Xenopus tropicalis: one gene and its partner. The protein of the gene in region 1 interacts with the protein of each later gene in a pairwise test. Links are inferred from orthologs where the notes say so. Each region holds a gene or a part of one and is shown in the gene's direction. Other genes may lie near its edges.

Region 1 (4,112 bases):
ACCATACATGTTAAGATCCGCTCGCTTGGTGAGGTCGCCCGTTGTTCCTGCCCCTACACGGGCCGATAAGCTGCCGAATTGGTCTAAGGGACCGATATCGGCAGCTACAACCGGCCCGTGTATGGCCACCTTAAGAGTTGTTTCTGTATGGTTTCATTATACAGGAACCACTTATCTTCAGATTCTAAGTAACAAAAAATGTATTTATTACAGTAATACAGTAACCTTACTAAAGGAAAACACATGCATTTATTGTATCTATAGTTATTAAAACAAAAAACTGTCATCTACAAAATTATAGGAACTAAATATATGGCATTTTGTCCTGCATTCTTACTACTATTACTTACATTTAAAATATCTTAATCAGGGTTTATCAAACTTGTTCTCAGGGAACTAAGATTTAGCCTGGAAGTCAGGCTTGGTGTTGCTTCAAGAACTGGTTTAGAATAAATAATAATATATAAATTTGAATCAGTACTGCCTTTAGTAGGAAGAAAATTCACTAAAGGAAAAAACATAGAAAACCACCTCCCCCCACCAAAAAAAACCAGTCATCGATTTTGTTTTCCGACCTACAGTCTGAACGATGCTAAATATAACCAACAGAATCTTCCGTTTACAAAGTAAAAGCTATAAATATAATATAGGGCTGGGTGGAAGTATGTGTGTGTACTTAAGCGTTAATAGCACAGATACAAAGTTTGCTTGCAGATTTTGCCGGTGACAGGCCTCTAAACACATCACTTATGAAACTATCGCATAATATTGCACAAGTTTCAATAAAATATATTGTTATCCGGTAGTTTATAAAATACGTATCACTGCTGGTAACTCTACTCGAATAATTTTACCATAACAGTCTTCACCTCCGATTACAAATAAGGATTGTTCATTATTGCCTTCTTTTAACAAGGAATAAAGTTTTTAACCTACAACAAAAAAAAACCCTGTGGGCCCGGAACGTGTATTCCACTCCCGCACGAACGCAAGACGCCGCGTCATAACGGTTATCCGAGACAAGAGGTGTCGTCAGCATTTGAGTGACGGGAGTTACAACCAATCGATGTCACGTATTATCCTAGTATCACCAATCAGCATTTTGACTGCTTGACAGCTAACTAGAAAGTGCATAGCCAATAGGGGTGCATAATTGTGATGGAGAACTTGTCCACCCTATCACACACAAGATTTGTTTATCTTTGCGTCCAATACACTCTTTAACCTTTCCCGTGACGCTCCGCTAGTTGCACAGCTAGGTTCCGGTTGATCGGTTGCCATGGCGGCGGCTGCTGGCAGCCCCGGTGCGGCTTATGAGTGTAATATCTGCTTGGAGACAGCGCGGGAACCTGTTGTCAGCGTGTGTGGGCATTTGTACTGGTGAGTGGAATGTGATGTGTCTGCCCTGTAGGCAGGTCTCTGCTAAGCTTGTTAATTCTGCTTTGCTGAGACTGTGTCCTTCAGTGGGTATGTATTTAGTTTGCTGTAGGAATGCATTGTTAGGGGGTTCGGCTACGGTCAGAAAGCTATCAGTAAAGTACAAGACCGAAATATTCAGGAAAGCTTCACCCCAACTGAAACTGTTCCCCTATAAAGGACTCAAAGCATTGGATGAGGGGAAAGAATGAGGCCCAGAGTACTAGTTGGAATGTGTTGAATGCTCTTAGAACCATATCATGTGACCTGTAGCTACAGCATGTTAAAGGGTAACTAAAATGCAATATAAGTTGCATGTCATGAAAAACAAACCTTCTAAACGTATTAAAATTTGCCTCCATACAAAAACTATTTTTTTGCAATGAAAAAAGGAAAATTGTCTGCAATGATTTAAAAAAATAAAATAAAATAAAATAAAAATGGAGACCTTACTGTTACATTGTTTCAATGTTTTCTGTTTTTTTTTTTTTCTTGAAGCAGGAGTCTGATTATGATTGACAATCATGTTTAATACAGCTATTGGGTGGGGCTCCCATTGCCTGCCATAGAAGATGTATTTGAGTTAATTCTTTCATAAAAGCAGACTTAAGCACAAATAATTCATGTAGAGGATCAAGATTGTGTGCGAGTTGGTTATTTTGAAAGAGTGATTTCCTTTAGGCAATTGGAATGCATCCCCAATGATGAATTAGTCCTCACTGACTACTCCATGAACAAAAAAAACAGACTGAAGAGTAACTTAAATATTAAAGAAATAGTACAAAATATATTTTTTGACCAATCATATTTTCTTAAGATAAAGCTGATTTTTATTTTTGCATCAGTTCCCCTTTGACATTTTGTAATCTTGTTATAAGCAAATTTTAACAGGTTCTCTTGATGTATTTTCACTGTACCCTGCAATCTTCTATGTTTAACCCAATCTTACAGTGAATATATTAATCCTTTCACTTATTGAGCCCCTTTGATCCACGCCATGATTTGTGTTGTTGGATTAAACTGAAACCCTGGAACTGCAGATTCTACATTGCTGGTACATATGTGCCTGTGCCCTGTAGATGCTTGAAATTAAAGGTGACAATTAGAGGATCCTTTGATGCTTGTTCTAGAAAATCAATGTCTTCATAATTCTACAATTGAATTATAAACTAGGCTATATCTGCAAGCACAGCCATTTTAAGCACAAATATTCCAATAGAACCTGTAAGCACAGCTGGTACAATATTGTTTTTTGTCTTAGCCAAAGAAAGTGCATTTTGCTTTACATATTTCATTATATCATTAAAACTCACTTGGCTTAAGCCAGAAAACGCAAAGTATGTTCAGATTCATATGTTTAAAATGAATATTTTTTCACAAACGACCGCAAGGCTAAACAGATAATGTGTCCAAAGTATAAACACTGATTTGTTAGTGTAAACAGATTTTGTTTATATGTATTGTATGGAAGAGACGCTTGTAAAATGCCACTGCTTGTAGTTTCTGTATGTGTGTTTATATAACAACGCTGATCGTTAAAACTGCATTGTGTTCTGTATTCTGATGTTATGTTTGTGTTTTACAGCTGGCCTTGTCTGCATCAGGTATGTATTTATTAATAAAAAAGTAGAATGAGTTAAATTCTTCTTTAGCTTTGTAGCAGCAGCAGCTAGCAGTGCTAACGGTTTCATTCAGATCACATGTTCAGTGTTACAGAAATATTTATTTGTAATAAAAGCATAACATAGATAAACTACTGTAGTATACATGAAGGGTATTTTATTTGTTTGTAGTAGTTCAAACCGTTTGCATATTGACTGCAACCTGTTCATATAGTGAAAAGTATGTATGTATGTATGTATATCTTAATTTATAAAGCGCTACTTATGTATGCAGCGCTGTACAGTACAATACATTAATACAAACAGGGGATTATTAAATAATAGATAAATACAAAGTACAACAATAAATACAGATAGATACAAGATAAATACAGTTGCAATAAGTTAAGAGTCAAAGACACAAGAAGATGGAGGTCCCCGTAGAGCTTACAATCTATATGGGAGGGTAACTTACAGACACAAATAGGCAAATGCACTATAAGTGCTGTAGGTCACAGTGGGTGACACTACAATATAAGTGCTGATTCCCAGATCAGGTGCTGGGTGAGTGCTCCAAAAGGTAGTCTTTAAGTTTAATTTTAAAAAGACTGGGGGAGGATTCTCTTCGGAGGAAATCAGGGAGGGCATTCCAAATGTAAGGGGCAGCAAGGCAGAAAAGTTTAAGGCGGGAAACAGCAGTAGTAGTGGGGGGCGCAACCAAACGATCGCTCTGTGAGGAACGAAGGAGTCGGCCAGGAACATACAGAGACACAAGGGAAGAGATGTAGTGAGGAGCAGAGGAATGGAGGGCTTTGAAGGTTAAAGGAACAGTAACACCAAAAAATGAAAGAGCTTTAAAGTAATAAAAATATAATGCACTGTTGCCCTGCACTGGTAAAACTGGTGTGTTTGCTACAGTAACACTACTATAATTTATATAATAAGCTGCTGTGTAGCCATGGGGGGCAGCCATTCAAGCTGGAGAAAAGGCACAGGTTACATAGCAGATAACAGATAAGCTCTGTGGAATACAATAGTGTTTTATCTGTTATCTGCTATGTGCCTGTGCCTTTTCTCCTTTGAATGGCTACCTCC
Region 2 (3,399 bases), on another chromosome or scaffold:
CCCAGCCGCCGGGCCGCGGACCAGTTCTGGGCCGTGGACGGCATGGCAGTTGGCCGCAGCGCCCCCCCCCCCCCAGCGCGTTGCATGTGTTGCACCCCGCCCCCCTCTGCCTCCGGTCCGTGGAAACAATTTTTTGCCTCCTACCAGGCCGTGGTGCTAAAAAGGTTGGGGACCCCTGCTCTACATTATACTAAAAGTTAACTCAAAGGTGAACAACCCCTTTAATCAGCTGGTTTACAAAATTGTTTTACGAGTAAGAAACAAACATGCAAAACATTCAGAAACTGCTTTTAATAGCATCTTTTAAATTTTATTTATCTGTTATTTATATATCTTATGTATATATAGCACCAACACGTTTAGGCAGAGCTGTACTGAGATTATACATGATTCACATCAGTCCCTTCCACAGTAGATCTTACAGACCAATTTCCCTATCACATTCATACACAACAGAGTCAATTTTATAAGAAGCCATGTTATTGGAGTATAGGAGGAAGCTGTAGTACCCAGGGCAAACCCACACAGAAACAGCAAGAACATACAAACTGTGCACAGATAGTGCCCAAGCTGATATAGAACTCAGGACCCCAATGCTGCAGTGCAGAAATACTACTTGTGCACTTTAAAAACCAAACTGTGAAAAAACACCTTTAAGAACTGTAGGAATACTAGAAGATACTTAGAATGCATTTTATGAGGACATAATTAGTACTGTATATTTGTATACCCTTTTGTTACAGGCTTTACTGTGAAACCCACCCAGTGATGCATTAATTATTCTCTTGGTACTAATGGTCTTATTCTCTCTGCCTTTTGCTTTTGTAGTTGGTGGGCACTGCTGAGTTACGGTGTTAGCATGGTCACCATTGGAACATTTATCTTTGGCCAGACCACTACCAAAGCCATCTTTGTGGATCTACTGGGATAATCTATGAACTTTGATACAAGAGGTTAAAGGAACTGTAAGGCATTACTTGAATACTGGACATCTCACATGATTCCTTTTTTTTGGTGTTCTGCAAGGCATTACTCAGACACAGTTCTAAAAATGCACTGCAAACAAGTTTTTTTGATTTGCTAATGTAAGCAAACCAAAAATTATGCTTATACATGCCAAGCATTAATCACTGTATAATTAACAAATAATTATTTAATTAGGACACAGGACCAACTACAGAGATATACATTTGCTACAGCAACACTTCTGAGAAGAACAATTTTAATATATATGTTAAGGTCTAAATAAGAAGATTGTCTTGATTGTCAGAAAACAAAACAATCTCATGTTATGATCAATGCACACTTTACTGTATATATTTGGGTTCAGTTATAGAAATAATTCAGAGGATTAAATGTTGTTGGATAGCCATTTTCTGTATAAACCCAGTGAGGAATGTGTAAGCAAACAAAAAGCATTACATTATCTAGAGATGGTTTGGGAATCATTTCTTACCAGGTTTACTGTTAAAAACTAAATATTCAACAAAATCACATAACTGTAGGTGCACTATGAAAGTTTATAATACATTGGTTTATAGGCAAATAGTGACACACTCCTGTTAAAGTCCAAAACATGTCACTATATCTTAAATATTTACTTCCTTATGAAAGTGGCTATTTCTATAGTCAGTCAGTATCATGGCCGGTGTGTCTAGCTCATTTCTATAAAGCCATAAAATTTTGTGTGATGAAATCACAGTTGCTTGACCAATGTTGAGCTGCCTTGAGTTGATTTTCAATGTGTTATTAACTAGGTGGAATATAAATTCGTGTTTGCAGAGTTATAGACTTATCAGTTCAAATTTGGCCCACAGCCAATCATTTAGATACCCCAAATGCTGGTCTGAATATATATTTAAAAAAAGCAAGACATGGACAGTTATTTTATGTGAAGTGTGTATTCCAGATTTCTGATACCCAGACATTTTGGTGCAGCCTATTGTGTTCAAGGTTAGGTTCTCTGATATTCTGGGAACCATCTTTTTTTTTTTTCTTGTTAATGTGCAATAGCATGTTTTGAAAGGGATTTGTTCTTGTATGAATAGAAAACCAAATGGAATATCTGTATTTTTTATTTAAATGTTTACTACAGCATAGAGCAAAGTGCATCCCCCTATCTGCTAGGAACATGGTTCATTGAACAGCAATATACTCCTGCGTTCCCCATAATCTCTGTAAAAACGGCTTGTTCAAATATTAGTTTCTCCATTGCAACATTTTAAGTTCTATTTTAATTTTTTTTTGTCTAAGTCACATGTCCACCTTAGTATATTGAGCTTATTGGCAGGAAGATCACATGAACAAGCACACAAAAGAGGCTAATTTATTGAAGCATGAGTTGTACCAAATACATGGCCTGTGCACAATAAGGGTACTGATTCTTAGGCTATTTAGACCAACAGAAGATGCTACTTTTTAATAGGTAAACACCACCAATCAAAACAATAAAAAACAAGTTTTTGCATGCAAATATACATGAATTTATATATAATGTCATATAGAAATAGCACTAAGCAATCATGTTAAGCTTATATGTAGAGTTCATTGCTAATAAGACTTAAAATTCAGCATTTAGCCTTATGTTAATTAACTATATAATTAATAATAAGTGGTGTCAAATTCAGCATTTACAATTTTTATACAGCCATGAAGGAAATCCATTTAACCTCATAATAATTTAGTTCATAGCTTTACTAGGATCCCAAGAAATGTGTGCCACTATGTTATCATTTGATTTTTAACAATTATGCTCTGTGGGCCACAAATGTGATACCTTTTTGGATAATGGTGTCCTGTAACCTGGGGACAACAGGTTGGGATTAGAGAATAGGTTTGTTTTTCTCGAATGCCCTGTAACTGGCATCCCTCCAAACCACTACTTCATAGAGGTCACTTCTTCTGTAGGGGCTAATTCTTTAAAGGAGCAGTTCAGTGTAAAATAGGTAGACTTCGCAAAAAAAAAAAAAATGTTTTTAATATAGTTATGAAGGCAAAAATGTAATCTATAAGGCTGGAGCGGGCAGATGTCTAACATAATGGCCAGAGCACTACTTCCTGCTTAACAGCTCTCTAAGCTGTTAGCAGCCAGTAACCAATCAGTGACTTTGGGGGGGGGGGCATATTGGACATAACTTCAGTTAGTTTGAATTTGAATCTGACCTGCTTGCTCACACACTAACTGAACAGTTGTGTCCCATGTGGCCCCCTACAATTAGTCACTGACTAACTTAGAGGTTAGAGAGCCGAAAGTAGTGTTATGGCTATTACATTAGACATCTGTCCACTCCAGCTTTATAGATTATATTTTTGCCCAACTATATTTCAAATATTTTTTTTATTTTGCTCAGTCTATCCGTTTTACCCAGTTTCATTTTTACGCTGAACTGTTCCTTTAAG

What was found.
Region 2: the proteins of rnf5 (region 1) and slc38a7 interact in binary tests that used the Homo sapiens proteins (3 or more experiments, as listed by UniProt). The two-hybrid records come from large-scale screens. The link is inferred for Xenopus tropicalis from reciprocal best matches to the Homo sapiens genes RNF5 and SLC38A7.

The regions. Positions count from the first base shown.
Region 1 is NC_030684.2:73,547,170-73,551,281, reverse strand, and holds the start of rnf5 (E3 ubiquitin-protein ligase RNF5), read left to right. Parts: upstream 1-1,266; 5' UTR 1,267-1,279; coding exon 1,280-1,380; intron 1,381-3,001; coding exon 3,002-3,020; intron 3,021-4,112. Other genes in the region: agpat1 (1-acyl-sn-glycerol-3-phosphate acyltransferase alpha), read right to left, coding at 937-1,039. UniProt on the Homo sapiens protein: Membrane-bound E3 ubiquitin-protein ligase that mediates ubiquitination of target proteins. May function together with E2 ubiquitin-conjugating enzymes UBE2D1/UBCH5A and UBE2D2/UBC4.
Region 2 is NC_030680.2:75,575,635-75,579,033, forward strand, and holds the end of slc38a7 (putative sodium-coupled neutral amino acid transporter 7), read left to right. Parts: intron 1-828; coding exon 829-931; 3' UTR 932-2,898; downstream 2,899-3,399. UniProt on the Homo sapiens protein: Symporter that selectively cotransports sodium ions and amino acids, such as L-glutamine and L-asparagine from the lysosome into the cytoplasm and may participates in mTORC1 activation. The transport activity requires an acidic lysosomal lumen.